Linked DNA regions of Lonchura striata. The protein of the gene in region 1 purifies or fractionates together with the protein of each later gene. This does not show direct contact. Links are inferred from orthologs where the notes say so. Each region holds a gene or a part of one and is shown on either strand. Other genes may lie near its edges. The genes, in order: ATP2B4 and NPTN.

Evidence for each region.
Region 2: the proteins of ATP2B4 (region 1) and NPTN purify together in Homo sapiens (co-immunoprecipitation; 3 studies listed by BioGRID and IntAct, with this or other methods). This does not show direct contact. The link is inferred for Lonchura striata from reciprocal best matches to the Homo sapiens genes ATP2B4 and NPTN.

Annotation. Positions count from the first base shown.
Region 1 is NC_134632.1:2,834,338-2,848,880, forward strand, and holds the start of ATP2B4 (plasma membrane calcium-transporting ATPase 4), read right to left. Parts: upstream 6,175-14,543; 5' UTR 6,026-6,174; intron 1-6,025. UniProt on the Homo sapiens protein: Calcium/calmodulin-regulated and magnesium-dependent enzyme that catalyzes the hydrolysis of ATP coupled with the transport of calcium out of the cell. By regulating sperm cell calcium homeostasis, may play a role in sperm motility.
Region 2 is NC_134613.1:6,368,513-6,382,941, forward strand, and holds the start of NPTN (neuroplastin), read left to right. Parts: upstream 1-8,280; 5' UTR 8,281-8,387; coding exon 8,388-8,475; intron 8,476-14,429. UniProt on the Homo sapiens protein: Probable homophilic and heterophilic cell adhesion molecule involved in long term potentiation at hippocampal excitatory synapses through activation of p38MAPK. May also regulate neurite outgrowth by activating the FGFR1 signaling pathway.

The DNA.
Region 1 (14,543 bases):
ACTGGGGTGGCACACAGCCCCTGGTGCCGCAGGGAAGGGAAGGATTCCCGAGGCCGGCAGCTCTCCCATTGGCACTGGGCTAAGGATGATCGATCCCGTCCCATGATGGACGATCGATCCCACGATGGATGATCGATCCCACAATGGATGATCGATCCCGTCCCATGATGGACAATTGATCCCACAATGGATGATCAATTCCATCCCATCCCACAATGGATGATCGATCCCATCTCATGATGGACGATCAATCCCACAATGGATGATCGATCCCGTCCCATGATGGACGATCGATCCCACGATGGATGATCCATCCCATCCCATCCCATCCCACAATGGATGATCAATCCCACAATGGATGATGGATCCCGCGATGGACGATCAATCCCACAATGGATGATCGATCCCGTCCCATGATGGACAATTGATCCCACAATGGATGATCAATCCCATCCCATCCCACAATGGATGATCGATCCCACAATGGACGATCGATCCCACGATGGATGATCCATCCCATCCCATCCCATCCCACAATGGATGATCAATCCCACAATGGATGATGGATCCCACGATGGACGATCAATCCCACAATGGATGATCGATTCCATCCCATGATGGACAATTGATCCCACAATGGATGATCAATCCCACAATGGATGATCGATCCCATCCCATTCCATGATGGACAATCAATCCCACGATGGACAATCGATCCCACAATGGATGGTCGATCCCATCCCATGATGGACGATAGATCCCGCAATGGATGATCAATCCCACAATGGATGATCGATCCCATCCTATCCCATGATGGACAATCGATCCCGCGATGGACGATCGATCCCACAATGGATGATCGATCCCATCCCATGATGGACAACCAATCCCACAATGGACAATCAATCCCACAATGGATAATCGATCCCATCCCATGATGGACCATCGATCCCACAATGGATGATCGATCCCATCCCATGATTGATCCCATGATCAATCCCACGATGGACGATTGATCCCACGTCCCTTCCCTCGCCCTGAAGCTGCAGGATTTGGGCAGAGGGTTGCTGGTGTCACCGCTGTGTGTTCCCTCCCCAGCCCACACTTCTTGGTCCATATTTAGGTCCCCATGTAAGACTTGATGCCATGATCCAGAAATCCCAGGAGAACTCCACCAGGGTCCCCATGTCCCTTGTCACCAGCCCAGGCTGGTGGGACATGGGGACCCTGGTGGAGTTCTGCACCCTGGAGGGAGCAGGGCCAGCCCCAAAAGGGAATCCCAAAATCCCAAAATTCCCGGGACCTCGCTGTGCATCAGCTTCCCACGTTCCAATCTGAGACCCCTCCCAGAAGCTCACAAACGCAGGAGGACTCTGAACTCAGCTCTTACTCACAGAGAGTTCTCCCAGGATTTAAGGTGCTTAATTAGCGGTTTCAAAGAGTCACCAGCGGGCTGGGTGACACCCCAGCGGGTGTCATGCACTCCACAGGGCTCCAAGCTTCCCTCCTGTCCCTACCCAGCCTTACCTTGTGGCTTTTTTCCCTTTTCCTAACGATCCAGCAGAGGGGCAGGGTTTATAAGTCCATAGAAACTCTATTATCCCCGTGCATTAAAGCCAAAAGCAACTAATTAAAACATCAAAGTCACAGGGTTCATTAGCTCAGCCTCAGCGCTGGTAGGAGGTGACAGGGATTGTGGCTGTCACCCGACTGCTCCCAGCGATCCCTGCACCCCAAAACACATTCCCTGTCCCAGTGTCACTGGGAAAACCAGTGGCTTCCACTGGAAAACCGCTGGGCTGGGCAGGATCCCGTCACCTGCCTGTCCCTGTCCCCCAGCTGGTCACCTCTGCCTGCACCAGTGTGGAGAGGAGGGAGGTTGGGGACAGCTCTGCCACCTCTGCCATCAAAGCTCCTTCCCACAGGAGCATCTCCAGCCCCATCACCACCTATCGGATCCCTATTCCCCCCAGCACAACACAGGGGGACAGGGATGGGTTCAAATTCCCAGCTCTGCACACCAGAGCCCCTCCGGCGTGCCAGAACAGCCATTCCTTACTGGGAATGCTGCAGCATCCCTGGATCCAGGAGTTTCCAGCCAGCCACAGGAGACAGGGGACACCAGGGAAGTGGCACCGCCTGTGCTGCAGTGGCCACTTCCCACCTAAGGGCCTGCATCCATCAGCGTGGTCACACCGAGATCTGGTCACTTCCACTGCTATGGTCACCTCAGTGACCATTGGTCAGTTCCCACTGCCATGGTCACACTGAGCACTGGTCACTGCCATGGTCACACCAAGCACTGGTCACTTCCACTGCCATGGTCACCTCACAGTGACCACTGGTCAGCTCCCACTGTCATGGTCACACCGAGCACTGGTCACTTCCTACTGCCATGGTCACCTCCCACCGAGCAGTGGTCACTTCCACCACCATGGTCACTCCCACTGCCATGGTCACAGTGACCACCGGTCACTTCCACTGCCATGGTCACACCGAGCACTGGTCACTGCCATGGTCACACCGAGCACTGGTCACCTCCCACCTAAGGGCCTGCATCCCACTGTTGTGGTCACACTGACCATCGGTCACTTCCCAAAGGACCTGCACCCATTCCCACACCCACACTGACCATCGGTCACTTCCCAAAAGATCTGCATCCCATTTCCACGGCCACACTGACCATGGGTCACTTCCCAAAAGATCCGCACCCCATTTCCATGGCCACACTGACCATGGGTCACTTCCCAAAAGATCTGCACCCCATTTCCACGGCCACACTGACCATCGGTCACTTCCCAAAGGACCCGCACCCATTCCCACACCCACACTGACCATCGGTCACTTCCCAAAAGATCTGCATCCCATTTCCACGGCCACACTGACCATGGGTCACTTCCCAAAAGATTTGCACCCCATTTCCATGGCCACACTGACCATGGGTCAATTCCCAAAAGATCTGCACCCCATTTCCACGGCCACACTGACCATGGGTCACTTCCCAAAAGATCTGCACCCCATTTCCATGGCCACACTGACCATCGGTCACTTCCCAAAGGACCTGCACCCATTCCCACACCCACACTGACCATCGGTCACTTCCCAAAAGATCTGCATCCCATTTCCACACCCACACTGACCATCGGTCACTTCCCAGAGCCACACCGTGTCTCCCCGCCGGGTCTCGCTGTCCCTGCCCGGGCTCTCCCGGACCCAGCGGGATGCCCGGGCTCTCCCCGCAGGTTTTCCGGCTCCTTTCCCAGCAGGGCGCAGCCGTGCCCGGCGGGGAGGAGCCCTGGGCGAGGAGGAAGCCGGAGCTGCCAGCCCAGCCCGGCCCAGCCCTCGGCCGGGCCGTGCTCGGGGAGCAGCAGCAGCGAGCGGGTGGCGGCTGCGAGTCCCCCCCGGCACCGCAGAGATTTGGGTCCCCAAATTCCCCGCAGGCTCCAACCCTGCGGGAAAACTCCGCTCGTGGCCTAGCAGGGAGGAGAAACAGGAATAGAAAAAAAAAAAAAAAACTAGAAGAAAACACATAACCCGAGAGAGGAGCGGGGAACGCGCGGGGAACGCGCGGCCCCGGCGAGGGGCGGCGGGGAAGGAGCGGGCTCGCCTCGCAGGGCTTGGGGACAAGGGGAAACTCCAGGCTCAGCTCCACCCCGGAGCTTTCGACTGCTAAACAATAGTGGAGAGGAGCAGGCGTCCCTCCCTGCTGCTCTTACTCATCCTGCCCAAGGAGCCGTGCCACCCTTGGGCTGCCCCCGCCCTGCCCGGGGGCTCGGGCGCGGCGGCTCCCGGCTCCGGAGGCGCAAGGCTGGGGTGACAGCGGCAGATTCCCCCGGGAAGAGATGCGGACCCACGGCACGCGAGCGGCGAGCCGGCAGCGCAGGGAATTCCCTCCGTCATCATCGCCAGCGGAAAAAAAAAAAAAAATACAAAAAAAAAAAAAAAAAAAAGGAAGGAGAAAAGAAACCAACACCCAACAACAGAATGCGCCCTCTCAAACCTCTCTACCTGCAGCACTTCTCAGCGCTTTTCCAGCCGGGAAGGAGCCGGGGTAGGTAGGACGGGGAGCGGCAGCCACGGCCCCGCCGGCGGCCAGGGCGGGCCGGGGCCGGAGCCCGCGGGGAACGCGCGGTGCCGGGGCCGGAACGGGGAAGCGCTGCCTCCTCCCAGCTCCAGCCGCACCATCCCGGCACCGGCACCTTCCCCGTGCCGCGGCCATCCGCCAGCCCAGGCGATGCAGCCGGGCCTCGGGCACTCACAATTTGGCCTCCAAGCCCACCCAGCGCCCACCTTTGAGGAAGGGTCCTCCGCCGCTCCGATCCGAAGGGCACCTCCAGCCCCCCCGAGCCGCCAGCCTGGCCGCACGGAGGGGTCCGGGCGGTCACCCGAGGGGGCAGCCGGGGAGGGAAGCCCAGGGCCGGCGAGGGATCCCCGGGGCGCGGCGGGGTGGGGCTGGCGGAGCGCGGGGGCGTCAGCCTCGCTCGCTCATGATTGAATAATTTAGGTGCGTTTCAGTGCTCGGAAAAGCGAAAGATTGAGGGCAATGTCTGGAGGCAGGCAGGGCGCAGGCAGCGGTGCAGCCCCTGCCTTGCCCACGCAGCCCAAGGGGTTTGGGATGGGGGGCTCACCTCGGGGGTCCCCCGGCCCCAGGACGGCTCTGGGTGCCCCATGGCGAGCTCCGAGCACTCACCTCCACCCCGGCTCGCTGCCCTCGGCTCCTGCCCGTCCACCCACGTCCGGGGCTGCCAGTCCACGGCCACGGGCAGAAACTGGCTGCACTGGTTTGGGCTTCGCAATGCAAACCCCCACCCAAGCTCAGGTCTCCAGAGATAAGAGCACAATAACCTATTGTCCCTCCTCCCCTCCCAACATCTCCACTCGCCTCTGGCGAAGCGGGGAGGGACCACCCAGCTCCGCACAGCCCCCCCCGCCCCCGCCGCCGGCAGCCCACGGGGGACACGGACCCACCGAGCCAGGCCAGGGATGCTGGGAGGCTCCGGAGCCGGGCTGGGATGCAGCGAGAGCGCTGGGGACAGAGGCAGGAGGAGGCGGACGAGGCCAGAGCCTGGCCGAGCTTGCAATAGATTTCCTGATTTATTTTTTAATTTATTTTCCGCCTCCCCACTCCTGTTTTCTCTGCTGTGGCTCTGCCCAGCTGGATTGGTGCAGGCAGGAGGGAGACGTGCCCAGCCGTGGCGTGGGCAAACCCCCCCTCCCCTCCCACGCACCTCCCCACCGCATCCCACCCTCCCCACGCGCCCCCCACCCGAGTCACCCCACTCCAGGCAGGGAGCAGCCCCCTTTGCTGCCCCACGCGTGGGGGAAAAAAACCACCCCAAACCCACCCACGCAGCACCTTCCCCGCTCTGTCCTTGGGCTGCCGCAAGCCCCCCTCCCCTTCCCCCGCCTCTTCCTTCCTCCATCATCCTCATCCTCCTCCTCCCCGCAATGCCACAACCCGCTGCCTCCCAAAAAATCCAGCAACACGCGCGACCGGGAACCCCGCACCGTCCTCCCCCCCGCACACACACAGCCACCTCAAGGGCGGGCAACAAGTTGTAGGATCCGACCGGAGCATCCTCCCCACCCCAAAACCCGGGGGGCTGCCGGAGTTACCCCCCCCACGAGAAATTTGGGGGCTGCACTCCCCGCAGCCGCCCACGCCCCGGAGCGGCCGGACCGCGGTCACCCCACCACCCCACCCTTCTCCCACGTGGGATTGGGGTCTGGGGGGGGGTCCCACACCGACCCCCCCGTGATGTAGAACCCACGGCGAGCCCCCCCATCCCACCTGCTGCACCGGGACGGAGCGGGGCGGTGAAACCCCCGCTGCCAGCGCCCCACCGCCCCCACGGCGGGGGCGGCGATGCTCCCACCCCCGGCCCCGACACAGACCCCCGCTCCGCAGCCACCCCACGCCACTCCCGTGCGTCCCCCCGCCGTGTCCCCAACACCTCAAACCCCCCGCGGGACCCCCGTACCCCCAAGCTCTCGGGGTCGTGTCCCCCCCACCCCTTGCACTCACCGGCTCCGGTCCCACGGCGCCCGGCTGGCGGCGGAGCCCCCGCGACTGGCCATGGGCTGGAGGGGGAGCGGTCCCGGAGCTAACGGGAGAAAATGCTTGTCATGGCAACCCCCCGTGCCGTGCGGGGCCGTGCGGGGCCGGGCCGGCGAGGGAGGGGACGGCGGGCAGGGAGGGGGAGGGCTCGTCCCAGCCCGCCGGGGGAGGGGCTCCCTTAAGGTGGCTGCACGCCCCGACGGCCGCTTAAGGGGGACGGCGACAGGAACGGGGTGAAGGGACCAGCGAGGGGGGGACAGCGGCGTGGGGGACCCCGAACATGGCAGGAGCCCACGGGCAGAGCGGGGGGTGCACGGCTGGAAAGGGTGGGGGCACCCCCGGGTAATATCGGGGACCCCCAAGCACGGTGGGGACACGCTGGTCAGGGTGGCAGATGCACCCCCAGAAAGAGGGGAGACTCCCCCGGGCAATGTGGGGACACCCCCGGGTAATATCGGGGTCCCCAAGCAGGGTGGGGACACGCTGGACAGGGTGGCAGATGCACCCCCAGAAAGAGGGGAGACTCCCCCGGGCAATGTGGGGACCCCCCCGGGTAATATCGGGGTCCCCAAGCAGGGTGGGGACACCCCCAGGTAATGTGGGGACCCCCCGAGCAATGTGAGGACCCCAATGGGCAATGTGGGGACCCCCAGGTGCCACCCCAGGTACCCCCAAGCAGTGTGGGGACCTCCCCGGACAATGTGGGGACACCCCCGGGTAATATCGGGGTCCCCAAGCAGGGTGGGGACACCCCCAGGTAATACGGGGTTCCCCAGGCAGGGTGGGGACACGCTGGACAAGGCAGTGGGTGCACCCCCAAAAGGGTGGGGACACCACTGGGAAATTTGGGCACACTCCCTGGGCGATGTGGGGACACCCCTGGGAAGAGTTGGGGACACCCCGGGGCGATATGGGGGTCCCCAAGCAGGGTGGGGACACGCTGGGCAGGGAGGCAGATGCACCCCCGGGAAGAGTGGGGACACCCCTGGGCAATGTGGGGACCCCACCCTGAAAGCAGATTGGAGTGTGCACCCCCAAAACCTGTGGGGACCCCCCAGGGCAGTGTGGGCACCCCAAAAACCGCTGGCACCCTCATGCCCAGCCCCCTCCCCACTCCGGCCGTGGAGGTGGCAGAAGGAATTCTGTGACCTGGGACAAAATTGGGGTTTTTTGGGGGGTTTTAGCACTTTTGGGGTGGCTCTGACCCACCCTGTCCCCTCATAGGCAGCACAAATTTGGGGGTGCTGACACCTTGAGATCCAGCACGCCCAACCCCCCCACCCCAAATCCCACCCTCGCCCCTTTTCCTAAAGGAACCCGGATAAAATTCCCCATGGAAGGATTCCATGCAGGGCTTCGAGGGGGTTCCAAAAATCCCCTCCCAAATCCCAGTTTGGGCTCCAGCTGTTCCAGTTTAACCAGTGCAACACCCCTGCGGCCACAGCCCCTCATTAGCCCTCGTTAATTAGCCCCTCATTAGCTATCCCAAGAGGTTTGGGCCTGCACCTCGGGAATTCCACATTGCCAGCCCTGGGAATTCATTTCCACCCCATTTTCCAGCAGAATTCCTCCCTCAGCTCTCCGGGATGGACCTTCTCGCCCAGCCCAGCCGATCCAGGGGATTTTTTTGGAGCTGGGAATGTTTTTTTGGAGTCACCCGAGCGACATCAGAGCTGCCCGGGTTGGATTTCATTCCATCTCCGCATCCTTTGGAGCACGACTGTGAAAAATGCAGATTTTGTGATTGGCTTTTCGCAAATGGCACGAAGAATATTATGTGTGTAATGTTAGAAAGTGATGCTGTGCTAATTCTCTTCGGTAGTGTGTTAAATGTACTTTTAGGTTACAACTTAATGTTAAAATATAGACTATGTATGTGGGGGAAGTTGTTTTTTTATTTTTTTAGGAATGAGATACTCGCTTCAAGGAACACCAAAATCTTCTAAAAGAGAAGAATTTATGGCTTCTTATCAGAATAAGCTTAATTTCTTCAGGCCTTGCTCAGATCGAAGACGCCCAGGGATTAAAGGAAACAACTGACATACAACAGACAGAGTTTGTTTTAAATAAAATATATGCATAACCATGAAGGATATATGAATATGCAACAAGTGGATTGGTTTAAGGATGATTCTTTTGTTCACAAGTCATGCTTTTCATGACTTAAAGCACCCAAACATCCATAATTCTTTGCTTTGTATTGTCTTGTATTGTCCTAACTCTAAACTTTATTCCTCTAATTGTATTATTATTTTTATAACCATTTTATTATTATCGAACTTTTAAAATTTTAAAAAAAACAAGTGATTGGGCATTGTTCGCAACCACCTTTGGGAAGAGGAAAATGCCCTGGGTTTGGAATTCCTCCTCAATTGCTCCTTGGGAGTTTCCAGGGTTATTCCTACTGAAAATAAAACATATATATAAATTTATTTATTTATTTATTATGTATATATGTATATATGTATATATGTATATATGTATATATGTATATATGTATATATTTCTAGATTTATAGGTTTATAGATTTATAGCTTTATAGATAATAAAATATAAAATATTTCAGGGCTGGGCATTCTCATGACAAAGACTCAAAAACCAAACTCAGGCCCCTTTCACTCACTCCACGTTTGCCCGCCACACACAAAAAAATGGGAATAAACACAGGGATTTTTATTCCTCCACCAAAATCTGCCAGCCCTGAGCAGGCTGGTTCACAGAACAGCTTGGAAAAGAGGTGTTGGAGCAGCTGGCAGGCACGGCTTCCCATGCAGAGCTGCTATTGAGACATAATGGCCTTTTCCAACAGGTTCTGGGAGCTTGGAAGGAATCTCTGACCATCTGGATTTGGGCTCCTGGAAGGAAATCAGCCTTCCTGCCCCAGGGAAGCCGTGTGAGCAGGAATTTGCCGGGAATTTGCAGCATTGGGTTTGGGTTAAAAAGGGGAAAAACAGGTTTTCCACCCCAGGGTAGCGGCTGCGGGAGGGAGCAGCCAAAATCCCGAAATCCGTGTGGGGAAATGTGATTTTTGAGAGGCATGAACGGCCCCAGAGCTTCTTCCAGGCCACGTTTAAGGAGAAGAACATGGAGGAGAAGGAGCAGGAGCAGGAGTATCACCTCCAAGTCAGCACCGAGCTGTCCCCACGAGCTGCAGATGGGAAAAATTCCTTCACAGAATATTTTGGGACCCTCTGTGTTGGTCTCTGCTTCCCTCCTGCTCCACTCACCTGCTCCTCCCAGTGGCTTGGCCACCCCCGGGGAGGTGACAGAGGTGTCCCCACGCTGCTCGCACTGGGACAGGCTGGATTTGGGGTGGCACTGGGGACAGGATGGTATAGGCTGAAAGAAGAGACAGGCTGAATTTTGGGTGACAGGCTGGATTTGGGGTGACAGGCTGGATTTGGGGTAATGATGGGGACAGACAGATTTGGGGTGATGATGGTGACGGGCTGGTATAGGGTGACAGATGGGACAGGACGGATTTGGGGTGACAGCAGGGACAGGCTGGATTTGGGGTGAATTCCAGGGTGGATCCCTGGGTGGATCCCTGGGTGAATTCCCAGTTGGATTCCTGGGTGGATTCCTGGGTGTATTTCCAGATGGATTCCCAAGTGGATTCCCAAGTGGATTCCCAAGTGGATTCTTGTGTGGATTCCTGGGTGGATTCCCAAGTGAATTCCCAGATGAATTCCTGGGTGAATTCCCAGATGGATTCTTGGGTGGGTTTCTGGATGGATTCCCTGGTGGATTCTTGTGTGAATTCCTGGGTGGATTTCTGGATGGATTCCCTGGTGGATTCTTGTGTGAATTCCTGGGTGGATTTCTGGGTGGATTCCCAAGTGAATTCCTGGGTGGATTCCCAAGTGAATTCCCAGGTGAATCTCCAGTTGGATTCCTGGGTGGATTCCTGGGTGGATTCCTGGGTGGATTCCTGGGTGGATTCCTGGGTGGATTCCCAGGTGAATTCCTGGGTGGATTCCCAGGTGGATTCCTGGCTGGATTCCCGGGTGGATTCCCAGTGGATTTCTCTCATTCATTGCACCCAGCTCCTCTGGATCCCCACCACATCCCTGAGGCCTCTCCCTTCCCATTCCCTGGAAAATCAGCCAAACTCCCCCAGTGACCGGCAGCACCCAAATTCTCCACCAAGGACCTAAATCCCCATGGGAATCTCGGCTGTTTTCCTGATTTTTGCCACCTCTTTTCCTCCCCCAGCGCTTTTCTGGCTGCTCTGGAAGTGAAGCAGAGCAGTGGGCAGTGCCAGGCCTTGAGGCAGCACCAAGGTAAAATAAATAACCCCAAAATAGAAAACTTCTCCCCCAGGCTCTTCCCTAAAAAAAAAAAAAAAAACCCAAAATAATAATAATAAAAAAAAAATCCACCTTCCCTGATGATTTCCCTTTAAACCCAGCCTCTAATATTTGGATTAATTTGCTTTTAATGCCTCCCAGGCTGGGAACTTGTAGGTGGAGTTTTTGAGCCTGAAAAATGAATTAAATCAGCCGAGTTGTATCAGCCAAGTTACAAACCCATCAAAACCCGGGGCCAGATCCTGATCTCATCCCCGGAGGGGGCGGACGGGGTAAATCCAGCGCTGCTGGAATACGCGGGGAAGGATTTTGGGAAGGATTTTGGGCAGGATTTTGTCACGGAGCTCCGGATTGGATCCCCCCCCCACTCCCCGCGGGTTTCTCATGGAAACACTGAGTGACTTTTGGAGCACAAGGCAGAGTCAGGCGTCTGTAAAATCTCTCTCCATTCAAGGGCTAAATATAGGGAGAGCAGCGATGTGCTCGGGGATAAATAAACCCTGGAGAGGCTCTGCCGGGAATGCCGGGGGTCCTGGAGGCACCACGGAGCTGGAGATGCTCCCACAGCTGATGAAAAGCGGATTTAAGAGATTTTTTTCCTGCTTTTTCTCCCTCTTTTCCCTCTGCCTGCTCACCCCTGAGCTGCAGCACCCCGAGGTGCCTGGTCAAGGTTTGGATTCTTGCCTGGAATTTGGGATGCCCATGGAAAATGTCCCATGGCATCCACACCAATTCGCTGCTCACTCCAAGGTCTTTGGAGACCCCCCTCCCAAAAAAAAAAAAAATTCCCGCAGCCACGGAAGTGCTAATTACCCATCACTTCACTAATGAACCTTTCCTAGCCTATTCCTCCTCCCAATCACTCCAACAGCCCCATTAATTCCTAATTAAGCAGCTCCTTCATTAGGGAAAAGGGCCTTGACAGGAGAGGCCAGAGGAGGAATTTGGGGATTGGGAGGGATTTTTTGCTTTATGGCCGTAATTAGCAGATGAAATTATTTGCTCACCTACAGAATTGATCACCAGAGTGCCTGGGAGCCTTTCCCTTCCCCATCCCTGCGCGTTCCCGGTTGGAAGCACGGCGGGATTTAAATTTGTTTATTAAATGTGGGAATCCAGGGCATCCCTCTGCTTCCAGGGTAGCCAGAGGGATGCCCTGGATTCCCATCATTAAACCCCCAAAATTTGTGAATTTGAGGCTCAGGAGGAGCCTCTGGGCTGCTCCTTCCCAAGCATCCCTGCTGGGGATGAGGGGAATTCCGGGCTGCTGGATCCGTGCTTTTCCATGGATGATGAAATAGAATAAAATTTAACAAGGTAAAAAAATCTATTTAGATCTAAGTCAAGTATACTACACAGCTTACTAACACGAGTAAAATCTCCTGCTTAGTCTGTTAACTATACTGTGCTTGTAAAACTGTCCCAGCTAAAGTAAAAAAATGTGATTTCTAAGGTGAAGAGATAAGAGGAGCACCTTAAACTCTAAAACTAAGAAAATAAAAGTCTGCAAGAATAACCAAAGAGATTAAAGAGTTCTCTATACAAAGGGCCAACTATAAATTGCAACTCAAAATTAACAAAATAACTATGCATAAAATCATATAATCATATTATAATCATATGCATTATAATCATGACAATCATATACTGCATCATATAATGCATATAATCATATTATAAGATTCTATGTATATATAAATTAGTGCAGAATAATAAAAGAAATTTTTGTGCGTGCCCTTTGAAGGGGATCCCTGCGGGAGGGGAAATCCCAGCGTTAAAAAAATGAAAAGTTACCGTTCCCTACAAATCTTTATTAAAATTGTGACATTTTGATTTTTCATCTGGCGAGCTAGCCAGGAGATTTTCTGTCCTCGCAGGGGCAGAAAACTGTCGGAATCCGAGGTATTGATGATTCTGAGATTGTAGAAAATTTTGGGGGGTTTTTCTGCCCCGCTGCCAAAGCAGAAGCCATAATTGGTCTGTGCTGGTTTCCAGGTTGTTTATTCTGTTTATCTCTCACATGTTCTGCTGCCCTGCCCAGCTCTGTCCTGCAGGGCAGCGTGTGGGGCTCTGCCCTCAGTGGGATGTTACAAACATTAAATACCAGAAACTCCCTGGGCTGGATTTACAAGAACGTGCCAATATCTGTCACCTACGTTGGACAGTGTGTCCCCAGCCTGAACCAACAGAAAAATGCCAACACCACAATGAGACATGGAGGGCATGAAGAAGGAGAAAAAGGACAAGGCACACCCAATTTCCTCCAGCTTGTCCCCTTTGGACCCCTCATCTAGAATCCTAAAATTTTACTTTTGCACCCGTGCCACACTTAATTATTACTTATATCAAACACTCAGAGCTGGTAATTGATCCTGTGAGATTGAAAACTCTTTTCCATGGCCAGAGATCACAGCCAGTGTCTCTGGGGGCTCTGTCCAGGGGGGTTCCTGACCCCTGCCAGGGTCCCAGGTCAGCCAGAGGGAAGCTCTGCATTCCCACAGAAAACACCTGCAGGGAAAATCCCCACCGAGATCCCGAAATGAACATTTTTTTTTTTCCCCCTCCAGTTCCGACCTCGTTTCATTCCTGCCATCGAGGAGGAACCTCGTGCGTGGTGTTTGCAGCGCGGTAACAGCTCGGGGACCTTGGTGGGCCCCAGGAAAGTCCCCGCTGCTGGCGGTGACAGCGCGGTGGGTGGTGCTGAAAGCGAGGGGTGCCAAGTGACAGCTCGGGGACAGGGAGATGAAAGCTCTGCCCGTCACTCCCGAGCTGTCAGCCACGAGCTGGAGAGGCGGAGGAGCTCCCGAGCCCCACTTTGGGGCTATTTTGGGGTCGTCCTTCCCTCCAGGGATGCGGGGAGAAAGGGTTGGGAGAGCTGGAGATGCCCTCGGTGCCACCTGGGTCACGGACCGTGGAGGAGAAATGCGACAGCCAAAGAAGGGATGACCCCAACAATGCCACTTTTGTCACCTTCACTAAGTTGTGTGGTCGGGAACGGCTTTTCCAAAATCTCAAGGTGCTCCCAAAATGGGAAATCTGGAGGCTGGACCAGCGGTGAAAACCCCAAAGCCACACGGAGCCTCCGGACATTCCCGTCCTCCAGGATTCTCGGGATTCCTGCTTCCAGAAAGGTCCATTTCCCTCCTAACCCCACCTGCAGGTGCTGGGGGACAATAAGGGGACATCGCGGGTGTTGATGCCACAAGGCAAAGCTGTGGTGACACCCAAAAGGGGGTGAAATACCCAAAAAAAGGGGTGAAATACTGAAAAAAGGGTGAAATAGCCAAAATGAAGGGGTGAAATACACAAAAGAAGGGTGAAATGCCAAAAATGTGGTGAAATGCCCAAAATAAAGAGGTGAAAATACCCAAAATAAATGGTGAAATATCCAAAATAAAGAGATGAAATACCAAAAGAGGGGTGAAATACACAAAATAAAGGGGTGAAATACCAAAAGAGGGGTGAAATACCAAAAGAGGGGTGAAATACCAAAAAGGGGTGAAATACGCAAAATAAAGGGGTGAAATACCCAAAATAAAGGATGAAATATCCAAAATAATGAAATTAAATACCCAAAAGAGGGGTGAAACACCAAAAAATGGGGTGAAATACCAAAAAAGGGGTGAAATACACAAAAAACGGGTGAAATACCCAAAAGAAAGGGTGAGATATCCAAAATAAAGAGATTAAATACCCAGAAGAGGGGTGAAATACCAAAAGAGGGGTGAAATTCCAAAAAAGGGGTGAAATATCCAAAATAAAGGGTGAAATATCCAAAATAAAGAGATGAAATACCCAAAAGAGAGGTGAAATACCAAAAGAGGGGTGAAATACCAAAAAAGGGGTGAAATATCCAAAATAAAGGGGTGAAATACCCAAACAAAGGGATGAAATACCAAAAGAAGGGTGAAAATTGGTGGAAAAATCTTGGATGCCAAGGTTACCTCTTCCCAAAAGAGGGAATAGGGGAAACCAGACACGTCTCCAAGTGCATCCCCGGGAAAACAAACCAGGAACCTTTATTGGAATAAAAACCATCAATAATGCATTGCTAAGGAGCTGCAGATGAGTGCAATTAAAAACAACAACAACAAAAAAAATAAAAGCAGTGCATTCCCCAAGCAAAAAAACCAAAATTATTCCTCACAGCTTCCCCGAGATTTATGGAAATGAAG
Region 2 (14,429 bases), on another chromosome or scaffold:
GATGGCAATGACAGCACTGATCCCATCGATGGCTGGGACACGGAGCTGTCCCCTGTCCCCAAACCAGCCCTGGATATCCCAGGATGACCCTTAGGGACACACACCATGCGGGACAGGAGCCAGGAGGGGATCCTGGTGCTCAGGGATGGCAATGACAGCACCGAACCCATCGATGGCTGGGACACGGAGCTGTCCCCTGTCCCCAAACCAGCCCTGGATATCCCAGGATGACCCTTAGGGACAGGCACCGTGTGGCACAGGAGCCAGGAGGGGATCCTGGTGCTCAGGGGTGGCAATGACAGCACTGATCCCATCGATGGCTGGGACACGGAGCTGTCCCCTGTCCCCAAACCAGCCCTGGGCACCCCAGAGTGACCCTTAGGGACAGGCATTGTGTGGCACAGGAGCCAGGAGGGGATCCTGGTGCTCAGGGGTGGCAATGACAGCACTGATCCCATCGACAGCTGGGGCAGAGCACTGTCCCCTGTCCCCAAACCAGCCCTGGGCACCCCACAGTGACCCCACACTGTGTGGGACCAGAGCCATGAGCCACGAGGGAATCACGGAATCACAGAACGGGCTGATGGAAGGGATCATCAGCCCAAGCCCTGGCCCTGCACAGACTGATGACTGGGGCATGGAGCTGTCCCCAAGCCCCAAACCAGCCCTGGGCACCCCAACAATCCCAGCCTGTCCCACAGCCTCGGGGCTGTGCTCATTCCCTGGGCAGCCTGGGCAGTGCCCAGCACCCTCTGGGGAAGAATCTCCCACCTGACCCTCCCTGGCACAGCTCCAGCCGTTCCCTGGGGCCTGTCCTGGGTCAGGGCAGTGAAGAGCCGGGTCCCTGCCCCTCCACTGCCCCTCAGGAGGGTGGCACAGGGAGGTGCCCCCTCCGCTTCCCCTTCTCCAGGCTGAGCAAACCAAGTGCCCAGACAAGCAGGGTGGCATCTCCAAATACATCCCTGAGGGAAAACAGCTCGTTGAGGTGGCCTGGATGGAACCAACAGGGAGGCCCCAGCCCTGCTGCCTCCTGAGCAAACTGGTGCCCAGTGACAACTCCTGGGCCACTGAAGCCCTGGGCAGCCCACCTGGGGTGGCACTCCCACCCACGGGTGTGGGAACCCTTGTAAGCTCAGCCCAGTGCTGCTCCTGGCTTGTTCTGGGCTCCTGCTGGTCTCTAGTTTAGCCCCAGCTGTCCCTGCACCTCTGGGCCCTGGGGATCTGAGTCCTGGCCTGCATTGATTTCCCAGGAGCTCAGGTCTGGTTTGTGCCCCTGGAGGTGCCCAGGGACCTCCTGGCTCTGTCCAGCCCCAGGTGCCCCTGCTGGGATTGATCTTGAGCTATGGAGGATTGGTATTTCCAGCCTATCTTGTGCAGCATGTGGGGAATTCTGGCTGCTCTCCTTTCTTGCCAGCCACAGCATTGTTCCTTTCCTTTTTCCTTTTACCTTTTTCCTTTCTCCTTTTTCCTCCTTGCTGCCCCACAAGGACACCCCGTGCCCCAAGCCACACCCCAGGCCACTAAGATGCCACGGGAGCAGCCCGAGTGTCCCCGCAGGACACGGGGCTGTCCCTGCAGCCACCACAAGAGCCCAAATCCCTGCTGGTTTTGGGGAGGAGCCCAGCTGCAGGCAGTGCCCAGCCTGGCTGGAGCCAGCCCTGTGCTAATCCAGGGGTGCCACCTGCCGGATCAGCCACATCCTGAAGATTCCTCCAGATGTTCCAAGTTTACCCCGCTGTGCCTTCCCGGAGATCCTCACTGGCATTCAGGGACAAGCTGGGGTGTAGCAAAGCCGCCCGTGGCTGGGAGGAGCTGCTCCCAACAAAAATTATGCCTTCCCTCAGGGTAATGAGGTCAGGGAATGACTGAGTTATTGAACTCCATTCCCTAAAAATTGGGTGGAGAAAAACGTTACAGTGTGAAGAATTTGCCTTCAATAGAGACAAATAATTTCGGGCTGGGTCAGAGAGGAGGGAGGAGGGAAAGCAGTTTGATTTGTGTCCCTCTTGCTCCTTCCCTGCAGAAAATAAGGTCAGGCGAACTCCAGCTGTCTGTGGTAACAGCTGATGTCGGCCCTGCTGAGATTGCTGACTCCGTGCGTGCGTTCCAAACCAGGCTGCCCCAAATCACCCTCGGCTCGTTTTGCACGGAAAGCCATTTCTGGGAGCGTGGCAGGAGGGGGAGAACCCAACCCAGCTGCCGCTCCCCGCGGGACTGGGAAGTGGCAACTCAGCTTTCTGGACATCTAGATGGTTTTGGTTTTGTTTGTTTGTGTTTTTTGGGGTTTTTTGTTTGGTTGGTTTTTTATTACTACCTTGAGATCTTTAATGTTGTTGGGGTTTTTTTTGTGTGTGTGGTTTTTTTTTTCGGGGGGGGGGGGGGGGGGAATTTGGGGTTTTTTTAGCAGCTTTGCCTTTGACTCCTTTCCCTCAGAGCACGTCCCTGTGTGATTTTACAAGCTCTCCCTTCTCTCATTTCTCAGAGCACGGGGGTTTTGTTCCGTTTCATTTTTCCCTGGCTGTTTAGGAGGAGAACTGAAGGGCTCACCTGTGCAGCAGGGTGTGAAGGAGGCCTCCGCGGAGCCTCACCCCGATGTTATCTCACGAGGTTCATGTCGTTCTCCGGCTGCCACGGTGCCTCTGGGGAGATGAATAGCCACGAATCAGGTCGCAGGTACCTTTTGGGATCGCTGTTTTCCTGGCAAGCGGCCCCGTGGGAGCATTATCTGATGTTATCCAGGGTTTCTCAGCCCTGAGAGCAGCTGGAAAAGAGGGGGTTTGTGCTGGACTCTGTTTCCTGCTCTGCCCTGGCCCTGAACACATTCAAAAGAAGGTGAGTCCATGTGAGGAGAGCAGAGAAATTCTTCCCTGTGATGGTGGGGGACAGAATTCCCAAGCAGCTGTGGCTGCTCCTGGATCCCTGGAAGTGTCCCAGGCCAGGCTTAACGGGGCTTGGAGCAGCCCTGCCCATGGCAGGGGGTGGAATGGGATGATCCATGAAACCCTTTCCATCCTGTGAAAGCTTTCAAGTGCCAAAACACATCACTAAACACATCAAAATAACAGGGATCTCTCAAACGCTCGCAGCTGCAAGAAGACAAGCTCCAAATTCCCCCACAAAATAAGGAGGATGCCTCTGTGCTGCTCTCTGAGAACTGAAACTCTCCTGAATTTCCTGCTGACTACAGGGTGTTTTTTGCTTCCTCTTTACTTACCTCGCTTTCAAGATTTTCTGTCTTTCTCATTCTGAAGGAAAAAGCAGAGAATAATCAAAACTGAGACCCCCTCCAGGTGAAAATACGGGTCTTGATTGAAGAGAAAAGGCAAGGGATTGGGAAACTTTGCCATACCTGAGTTTACCCTGGCATTCCTGAGGCCAGGAATCACCAGGCAAACACATCACCCTGCTCAGACTCCATCTGCTGGAATCCCAGGGTTTTCTTCACCACTGAGGCGCCGTGCTGGATCTAAGGCTGGACAATCCCCTTTTCCTGCAGAACTCCAGGTGTAAGAGGATTCCTCATCCACGGAACAAGAAGAGGGTTTTTTGGCCACCGTTGATATGGCTGGATACCTGAGTGAGTGCTTTGTTATAAATTTTAGGGATCTGTGCTCCAGAAGACTTGGGATCAGACCCATGAGGACATCTCCTGGCCATGGGGACCTCCTGCTCTGGTTTCTTGTGCTGGATGATCACAAATCCATGGATCAGCTTCGTTCTCCAGCGGAGAAACCTTCCAGGGATGCTCCAGCTGCCAGCAGGGCTTGTCCCCAGGGCAGAAGCAGAGTGTGAAAAATACATATTTTATGATTGGCTTTTCGCAAATATTACAATGAGTATTATATGTGTCATGTTAGAAAGTTATGCTGTATTAATTCTCTTAAGTAGTGTGTTAAATATAGTTTCAGGTTCCAACATAATGTTAAAGTAGGGACTGTGTATGTGGGGGAAGTTTTTTTTTTAGGAATGAGATACTCGCTTCGAGGAACACCTAAATCTTCCAAAGGAGAGGAATTTATGACTTCTTATCAGAAGAAACTAATTTCTTCAGGCCTTGCTCAGACTCAAGACACGCCAGGGGATTAAATGAAACAGCTGACATACAGCAGAGTTTCTTGTTTTAAATAAAATGTATGCATAATCATGAAGGATATATGAATATGCAACAAGTGTATTGTTTCAGGGGTGATTCCTTTGCTCACAAGGGATGCTTTTTGTGACTCAGTGTCCGAGAGCTTTATTACTCGAATTGTATTATTATTTTTATAACCATTTTATTACTATTAAACTTTGAAAATTTTAAAAACCAAGTGACTGGCGTTTTTCACAAGAGGAACACAAGTGACAGCTGAGTTATGCAACTGCGGAGAGAAACTCTGAGCTGGTGAGAGAGGAGGGGAAAAAATTCCTCCTGCTAAGTTGGGCTGGGGCCTGTGGCAGCGTGAGTCACCCTGAGCTGCCATGGTTACGGAGCAAGGATTGCTGAGCAGTTCCAGAGCCTGCTCCCAGCGCTGCTCACTCCTTCCAAACTTGGAAAACAGCACTGGAGGTGAGGCCTAATAGCGAGTGGGAGTCTGCAAGGAGCAGAGTTACAGCGAAATCCTGGGAAAACGGCGGGCAAATGTTGGAATCTGAGGTATTGATGATTCTGAGATTGCAAAAAGTCTCTGTCTGTCAGCCCCGCTGCCAAAGCAGAAGCCATAATTGGTCTGTGCTGGTTTCCAGGTTGTTTATTCTGTTGATCTCTCACATGTTCTGCTGCCCTGCCCAGCTCTGTCCTGCAGGGCAGCGTGTGGGGCTCTGCCCTCAGTGGGATGTTACAAACATTAAATACCAGAAACTCCCTGGGCTGCATTTACAATAACGTGCCAATATCTGTCACCTACGTTGGACAGTGTGTCCCCAGCCTGAACCAACAGAAAAATGCCAACACCACAGTGAGACATGGAGGGCATGAAGAAGGAGAAAAAGGACAAGGCACACCAAATTTCCTCCATCTTGTCCCCTTTGGACCCCTCATCTAGAATCCTAAAATTCTACTTTTGCACCCGTGCCACACTTAATTATTCCTTCTATCAAACACTCAGAGCTTGTAATTCATGCTGTAAGATTGAAAACTCTTTTCCATGGCCAGAGATCACAGCCAGTGTCTCTGGGGGCTCTGTCCAGGGGGGTTCCTGACCCCTGCCACGGTCCCAGGGCAGGCAGGGCAGCCAGAGGGATGCTCTGGATTCCCACAGGCAAAGAGCAGCACGAGGGGCAGTGCTGGATAAAACTGCATTTCTGGCTCTCAGGGTTGTTCCACACAGAGGGGAACAAAAGAGCCACGGTGAGAAAAAGCAGGGTAGTGTCACACAGATGAATCAGCTGGCACCAACAGTGAGTCATGGAAACGCACCGTGGAAATTCTCCAGCGCAGTGGAATCTCTGAGCACATGGAAGCTGGCATCCCTGGGGAGCCAGGGGGAGCCGGGATGACGTGGAGCACCAAAAAACTGCTGCTCCTCACGTGTGACCTCGCCCCTGCCGCCCTCAGCCAAGTCCTGAAGCGCTCAGGCAGGGATTTCAGCAGAGTTTTCATGTGAAAAGTGTGCCTGGTCCTTGCTTTCAGTGAGTCACAGCAGCGATAAAAGCATGAGAAGTGTGTTTGCTGATGGGCAGCTGAGACAGACCTGGGCAGGGTGAAGGAGGAGGGAGACAAAGTCAAGAAACCAGGACAGTTTGGGCTGTCACCACCCATAATTTCCCAGCCCACCCCACTCTGGGCATGCTGGTGACACAGGGCTCTGCAGAAAGCTGAAAATCTGATCCTGAGGATTTTCTGCTGGTTTTTCCCCCAGTCTCCTTCTCTGCTGGTCTGTCCCACGATCTCCTACAAGCCTCATATCTCCCCACCATCAGCTGGGCTTAAGGGCACAGAACAAAGCAAAAGCAAGCAGCAAATCTGACCTGGCATCTGTGATTTATGACAGAAAAATAGAGAAAAGCCACCCAGAGCTCACCAACAGCTGATTTCCAGCGTGCCTGGCTTGTCCAGTCATCCAGGAGTGAGATTTTGTGCTCTTTGCCCACAACTCCACGGCTAACATGGAATTACACCTTTGCTTCACGCAGCGTTTGTTTCCTACTCGTGCAAAAATGACACATCCCTTGAAAAATCTTTTGTATGGAAGCATAGAAGTGATGGATGGAATGGTGTTTAAAATTATATCGGTGTTTTGTGGGTGCGTGGACCTTAAGCTGAGCAATTTGGGGTGGAATTGGGTTCCTCTGACACACTGTGACCCTTGCAGAACGGCACAGAAACTCCTGAGTGAGAATGAACAGAGCCAAATACCAGCTCTTACCTTGTACTCACCAGTGTTTTAAACCCATGAAGAACAGAAGTGAGGAGGAGTGTGGTGCTTTGCATATCCCAGCCAGAGGGGTTCCACCATGGCAGCTCTGACGGGATGGATCCCTCAGGAGGGCTCTGCCATGGTGTCTGAGGGGATGGATCCCTCAGGCGGGCTCTGCCATGGCATCCCTGAGGGGATGGATCCCTCAGGCAAGCTCTGCCATGGCGTCCCTGAGGGGATGGATCCTTCAGGCGGGCTCTGCCATGGCGGCTCTGAGGGGATGGATCCCTCAGGCAAGCTCTGCCATGGCGTCCCTGAGGGGATGGATCCCTCAGGAGGGCTCTGCCATGGCAGCTCTGAGGGGATGGATCCTTCAGGCGGGCTCTGCCATGGCAGCTCTGAGGGGATGGATCCCTCAGGCGGGCTCTGCCATGGTGTCTGAGGGGATGGATCCCTCAGGCGGGCTCTGCCATGGCATCCCTGAGGGGATGGATCCCTCAGGCCGGCTCTGCCATGGTGTCTGAGGGGATGATGGATCCCTCAGGCCGGCTCTGCCATGGCATCCCTGAGGGGATGGATCCCTCAGGCGGGCTCTGCCATGGCGGCTCTGAGGGGATGGATCCCTCAGGCGGGCTCTGCCATGGTGTCTGAGGGGATGATGGATCCCTCAGGCGGGCTCTGCCATGGCGGCTCTGAGGGGATGGATCCCTCAGGCGGGCTCTGCCATGGTGTCTGAGGGGATGATGGATCCCTCAGGCGGGCTCTGCCATGGCGGCTCTGAGGGGATGGATCCCTCAGGCAAGCTCTGCCATGGTGTCTGAGGGGATGATGGATCCCTCAGGCGGGCTCTGCCATGGTGTCTGAGGGGATGATGGATCCCTCAGGCGGGCTCTGCCATGGCGTCCCTGAGGGGATGGATCCCTCAGGCGGGTTCTGCCATGGCGTCCCTGAGGGGATGGATCCCTCAGGCGGGCTCTGCCATGGCATGTCTGAGGGGATGGATCCCTCAGGCGGGCTCTGCCATGGCATCCCTGAGGGGATGGATCCCTCAGGCGGGCTCTGCCATGGTGTCTGAGGGGATGGATCCCTCAGGCGGGCTCTGCCATGGCAGCTCTGAGGGGATGGATCCCTCAGGCGGGCTCTGCCATGGTGTCTGAGGGGATGGATCCCTCAGGCGGGCTCTGCCATGGCAGCTCTGAGGGGATGGATCCCTCAGGCGGGCTCTGCCATGGTGTCTGAGGGGATGGATCCCTCAGGCGGGCTCTGCCATGGTGTCTGAGGGGATGGATCCCTCAGGCGGGCTCTGCCATGGTGTCCAGAGCAGGGGCTGCACCATGCTGCCCTGAGGGGACGGTTCCCTCAGGCGGGCTCCGCCATGGAGACCCTGAAGGGACGGTTCATTCAGGCGGGCTCCGCCATGGTAAATCTGAAGGGACGTTTCCTTCAGGCGGGCTCTGCCATGGAGACCCTGAAGGGACGGTTCATTCAGGCGGGCTCCTCCATGGTAAATCTGAAGGGACGGTTCCCTCAAGCGGGCTCCGCCATGGTAAATCTGAAGGGACGGTTCCCTCAGGCGGGCTCCGCCATGGAGACCCTGAAGGGACGGTTCCCTCAGGCGGGCTCTGCCATGGAGACCCTGAAGGGACGGTTCCCTCAGGCGGGCTCCTCCATGGTAAATCTGAAGGGACGGTTCCCTCAGGCGGGCTCCGCCATTGCGCTCAAGGAAAGCTGCCTCAGGCAGCCTCCGCCATGGCGCCCCTGAGGGCACGGCAGAAGGGGAGAAGTGGCAACTCCCCGCCGCCCGGGCGCCCCTGCCGCGCCGCCAGCTCGGAAGCTCGGCAAGCAGCAGAGAAGCCGCGGCACGGGCCGGGCCGAACGGGGCCAACATGGCGGCGAGGGGCGGGCGCCGGCACCCCGGCGGTGCCGCCCCCCGCCCCGGCGGTCTCGCGAGAGCGGCGGCGCTGCGGTAGGAGGTCGGCGGAGAAGGACGGACGGAGCCGCCGCCGCCTCAGCGCCTCGCCTCCCTCCTCCTGCCCCTGCCTCGGGAAGATGCCGCGCTCCGGGCCGCTCCCCGCCGCCTTCTCGCTGCTGCTGGCGACGGCCGCGCTGCTGCCGGGCCCGGCCGCGGCGCAGAACGGTGAGCGAGGGCGGCGGCGGCGGCGGGGGGGGCCGCGTTGCTATGGCGGCGGGTGTGCTGTGGGCAGCCCCGCGGGTGGGGGGCGACCCCGGGTTTGGGGGGAATCGCTGGAGATTTGGGGTCCCTCAGGGGAAGGGGGAAGGAGGAGAAAAGTGTGGGGGGGACAGGCTCGGGCCCCCCCCCCGGTTCCTCCTGGGGCGCCTCGTGCCGCCGGTAAAATGGAACATCTCCTCATCTCCTCCCGCCTACTGAACCCGCATCTGCCGGGCCGCCTTAAATCATTTATAATGCAATAAAGCCCGTAGTTCCTTAGCAACTGGAGAGGTCCTTCTGATAGGAGAGTAAAAGAAGGAATTAAGGGGAAAGAAAAAAGAAAAAAAAAAAAAAGAAACAACCAACCCACCACACCCCGAGCCTTCTCCGTTCCTTGTAGGCTAGCGTGAGCTAAATCCAGCGCGGCTGCCTCCTCCCCGGCGAGTTCGCAGCCAAGTGCATGACAATTAGTGGCAGAGCGGAGCGGGGCCAAGAGGCTGCTCCAGCCGAGCCTCCTGCTCCAGGGAAATCCCGCAGCGCCGGGGAAAATGCCTCTGTGCTCCCGGGGATGGAGCTACTCTCGGGAGGTGGAGGTGGTCCCGGGGGGATGGAGCTGCTGCTCCCGGGGAGATGGAGGTGCTCCCGGGGAGATGGAGGTGCTCCCGGGGAGATGGAGGTGCTCCGGGGAGATGGAGGTGCTCCCGGGGAGATGGAGGTGCTCCGGAGGGGATGGAGGTGCTCCCGGGGAGATGGAGGTGCTCCCGGTGGGATGGAGGTGCTGCTCCCGGGGGGATGGAGGTGCTCCCGGGGGGGATGGAGCTGCTCCCGGGGAGATGGAGGTGCTGCTCCCGGGGGGATGGAGGTGCTCCCGGGTGGATGGAGGTGCTCCGGGGGGATGGAGGTGGTCCCGGGGAGATGGAGGTGCTGCTCCCGGGGGGATGGAGGTGCTCCCGGGGGGATGGAGGTGCTGCTCCCGGGGAGATGGAGGTGCTGCTCCCGGGGGGATGGAGGTGCTCCCGGGGGGATGGAGCTGCTCCCGGGGAGATGGAGGTGCTCCCGGGGAGATGGAGGTGCTCCCGGGGGGATGGAGGTGCTGCTCCCGGGGGGATGGAGGTGCTGCTCCCGGGGGGATGGAGGTGCTGCTCCCGGGGGGATGGAGGTGCTGCTCCCGGGGAGATGGAGGTGCTGCTCCCGGGGAGATGGAGGTGCTGCTCCCGGGGGGATGGAGGTGCTCCCGGGGGGATGGAGGTGCTGCTCCCGGGGGGATGGAGGTGCTGCTCCCGGGGGGATGGAGGTGCTGCTCCCGGGGAGATGGAGGTGCTGCTCCCGGGGAGATGGAGCTGCTGCTCCCGGGGAGATGGAGCTGCTGCTCCCGGGGGGATGGAGGTGCTCCCGGGGGGATGGAGGTGCTCCGGGGGGGATGGAGGTGCTCCCGGGGGGATGGAGGTGCTCCCGGGGGGATGGAGGTGCTGCTCCCGGGGGGATGGAGGTGCTCCCGGGGGGATGGAGGTGCTCCCGGGGAGATGGAGGTGCTTCCGGGGGGATGGAGGTGCTCCCGGGGGGATGGAGGTGCTCCCGGGGAGATGGAGGTGCTCCCGGTGGGATGGAGGTGCTGCTCCCGGGGGGATGGAGGTGCTCCGGGGGGATGGAGGTGCTCCCGGGGAGATGGAGGTGCTTCCGGGGGGATGGAGGTGCTCCAAGGGGATGGGGCTGCTCCCACTGCAGCATCATGGTCAGCGCTGCTCGGGCCTGGGGAGCCGGCAGGGAGCTGGGCTGGCAGGAGGAGCCGCTGGGAAAACCTGCCCAGGAGGAAGGGCTGCCTCTCTCACACGCCAATTCCACGCTAGTTTCACCATTTGGTCCTCCTTTCTCTCGCCTTCCTTTCTGCTCTGCTGATAATATTCAGCTCTAGAGTTTTCCGGCTGGTGAGGTCCTTGGCTCTTTGCGCCGGGGGAAGCCTGGAATCCTCGGAGCTGGAATGTCCCAGCCTGGTTTGGGCTGGAAGGGACCTTAGAGCCCATCCCACCTGGCAGGGACAGGGACATCTTCCACTTGGCCAGCACTGAGCCTCTCAGGGTGTTTTTCAGTGATATCTAGATGGGAAAAATAGTGTCCTAAAGATCGCAGGTGAGAGTTATTCCCTGAGCACGTGCGGATTTTGAAGCCAGCAGCGAGCCTCGTGTCTCTGTTAACCCGAGTTTGGCCCTGGGAGTGAAACCTGGAGGCTGTGCAGAGTGAGGCAGTCTGGGCAAACCCTGGAGCCGTGTGGGATTCAGGGATGCGGGAAGGGGGATGGATTTGTGGATTAAATTTGGTTCTGTAGCACCGCTCAGTTCCCAGAAAAATTCCAGCCTGGGGAGGGAAGGAGTTAAATGGAAATGGGTCGCGTGTTCCGGGAAAGGAAGGTGTCAAGTGCCGGCAGCTGGGATGACAATCCCGAGTGGCTGCGGGACACTGCAAACATTTGTTTGGCAGCACTTAGGGGTCTGGAGGCCAGCGATAAAGTGAATTTTGGGGAGAGCTGCAAAGGGGCAAAGGATCTTGGCGTGAGGGGGGATTGCAGCGCACTGCTGTGTCCTGGAAGCTGAATAATTGTTATTTTTAATCAAGTGGTGAGGGAGAGTTTCTGTATTGCTCTGGGAGCTCACACAGGTGAGTGAAAATCTGCTTGGGAAGGGTTGGAGCAGCCCAAGCCAGGTGCAAGGTTGAGGTCTTTGTGACTTAAGGTTTATTGCTGCCCCAGTTTTAATGTAAAAAGGCCCTGCTGCAGAGGAGCTGGGTTTTTTTCAGCAAATAATGACCTGTGGGGAGCTTCCTGCAACAGAACAATTCCTCTTTGGGTGGAGAACAGGTCCAGCGTTTCCTGAATTGTGGCTGTTCCTTCAGATCTCCTTTGAAAACGCTTCTCACCTCTGGGTGTGTGCTGTGAGGGGCAGGGGAGGATCCCAGAGGGCAGCAATTCCTTATCTTTTATTGATGTGCAACCAGCAGAGTGATGGAAGGTGAAAAGTCCAAGGCAGGGTGGTGGAGGAATGGCCACGGAGCTGTTGGAGCTCACCTGCAGCAGAAAATCCCCGCTGCAATGCTGAGAGTTTGCGGGGAAAAAAAAAAAAAAAAGCTTTTTTCCCCACCTCTGACAGCAGATCTGTTGAATTCCCAGTAATTTTTCCAACTTAATCCAATCCGGAACATTTGGAGTCAGGCTCACCTATGGATTTAAGCTTGCTAAAACCGGGAGGAGGGTTTTGCTTTGAAAGTTTTTAGTTTGGAAGGATTTTATTTTGAGGGTTTTATTTTTCTGGCAGCTTTATTTTGAAAGCTTTGCATAAACACCTTGAGATCTTAGGGAAATGTGGCAGGAGTTGAACTTTTCCTGCATATTCTGCTGGGAAAATGCTCAGTTTCTGCTCAGGGCTTGCATCCAGAGCAGAGTTCTGATGGCACAGGGGAGAGATGGGGAAGGATGAGGAAGAGCTGGAAAAAGCCAGTCAGGAATATCTGTGTTTAACCTGCACTTTCTCAGGGCAGCTGTTGGAAAATCCCTTTAATGCTTCCAAGCAGGAGGAGAGGAAAACATGACTTTTCCATCATTGTTTCACCTTTGAAATATCTTGATTTCCAAACAAGCAGCTGGAAAACCAAAGGCTTCAGTGCAGTGATAATTCCACCCCAGAGTGGATTTAAAGGTTATTTTATTGTCTAAAATTGCTGCTGGGGCTGCTCCAATCTGGGAAATCTGCAGTGGTTTTTTAGCACAGCAACACAAGGGTTGGAGTGGGAGCAAGCTAAAGCACAGAGAATTCTTCACCATAAAATTGCTTGGGTTGTTCTGAGCTGGGCATGAGGGCAAATAAAACCAAATTAATTCAGGTGGTTCTTATTTAGTTCATCCTCTGCATGGATGGAGAAGGAACTAACTGGCTAAAACCAGAATATGGATTTTCTGTTGGCAGAAACCAGCAATAAATGAGGAAAATCATCTAAGCTCACCCTGAATTCTGAAAAATGAATTTCTTCTTGAAGGAACCAGTGAAAAACTTTGCTTTTATCCTTGTTTGTGCCTGCTGAGCCTCAGCACCTGAGCTCTGCTGTGCCTTTTCCTGGTGCCCAGATAAATGTGAGCATTTTTGGAGGCTGAGTGTGGGCTGAGCAGCGAGGAGAACGCTCAGAGCTCTCTTCTGCTCCTCCTCCTCCTCCAGGCAGGATCTCCCCTGCTCCTCTGCTCTCCCAGGTCCTGCTTTATGTCCCCAGCCCTGCCCAAGGTGGCTTTGTCACCCTCTAGATCATGGATTTTATTTCATTTTTTGATTTTCATTGCAGTTATTGCAGCTCCCGAAATTCACACACGTGCTGCACTTGCCTCCAGTAGTGAGATTTTATTTTCGGGGGGATTTTTCTCTAAAGCAGGACAATTCCTGTGGCCACGTTCCTCTAAAGTTTGGTTTTGGTTAAAGCAGGAGGTGCAGCAAAGCACAGGGAGCCCTCACAGCTTGGCTCTGCTCACCCTAAACCCTTTTTTCCATTTTTTAAAAGTTTCCCAGCAGAATTCTTCTTTCTGGAGGCTGGAATTGGGCTGGCTGCTGTGGGATTTCAGAGTCTGATCCTTTGGATGCTTGGGCATGGGCTTTTTGTGTTCAAACTCCTCAAAACAGGAATATTTGGGAATAAATAGTGACTTTTTCCCAGTTAATTCCAAAATACAAATCCTGACTTGTGTAAAGCTGGAGGAGGGAGCTTGGCTGTTAAAACATGACAAAGCTCCATCAAATCCAATATTCAATCATTCAAATAATAATAATTACCTGTGATTTTATTTTCACGGTCATTTATTCTCACTTGAGGTTAAATATTTGTTTGGTTCCTGGTGCTGCTTGCAGTTTTTTTTTTTTTTTTTGGTGTTTGTTTGGGTTTTTTTTGGGTGGTTTTTATTTTTTTGTGTGTTGGAGATGTGCACTGTGAGACATTTTTCTAGAGGAAAATAGATCAAAATGTCCTGTTCTGGTTTGAATAAATAAGAAAAAAAAGGTTTTTTTGCTCAAATTCCTATAGTTTTGCATTCCACGTTTTAAAATCCACAGCAGTGACAGGTGTAGCTCCTCACATTTTGGGGGTACTCACAAGGATCTTCCACTGGTTTGGAAACCTAAAATAACACTTTATTTATAAAAAAAAAAAATAAGGAAGTTACAGCATTTGTGTTGCTAGAATAGGAAAACGAGAGGAAGGGGGAATATCACGACCTGGAAAAAATATAATTACCCCAAAACCTCAGCTGGGAGCACACGGAATTGCTTGGTAGAACTGGCCGGGAACATTTTGGGAATGCTGAGGGATGGATTGAAGTGCCCAGGGAAGTTTTTTTTTTGGCAGTGCAGCCTGCAAGAATTCCGTGAGGGCGGACAGCGGGAGTTTGCAAAAAAACAGATGCTCGGAGGAGCATTTTTAAACCGGAGTGTGCAGCAGCTCAGCCCTCCGGGGGTGATTTTGTTGGGAAAAGCTGCTGCAAATGGGGTTTGAATCGCTGTCCTTTGGAGCTGCCTGGGGGGAATTAAACGGTGCTGGAGGGGTTTGAAAGCAGCTCCGAAGCAGAGGGCAGCTGCTCTGTCTGCTGGCTGGTGAAATCCCTGCAGGTGGTGGGAGCTGCTGGATGGTCACAGCACTAGAAAATCCCTAAAATAAAGGTTGGCAGCTTGGTTTTGGTCTGGTCTGGCCAGGAGGATCATTCCCAAATTTCCTCCCAGCACGCTCAGGACTGAGCCAGTGATGCCTTGGGAAGGCTGAGCTAGAGCAGAGACCAGACTGAGGTCAGGAATGAAGCAGGGATTTATTAAAAGGATCTCCTCAGTGAATCCACCTTGGGCAGCACCAGAGCCCAGCCAGGGCTGCAGCCAAGGTGAACCAAAATGGTCCCAAAAAGGGAA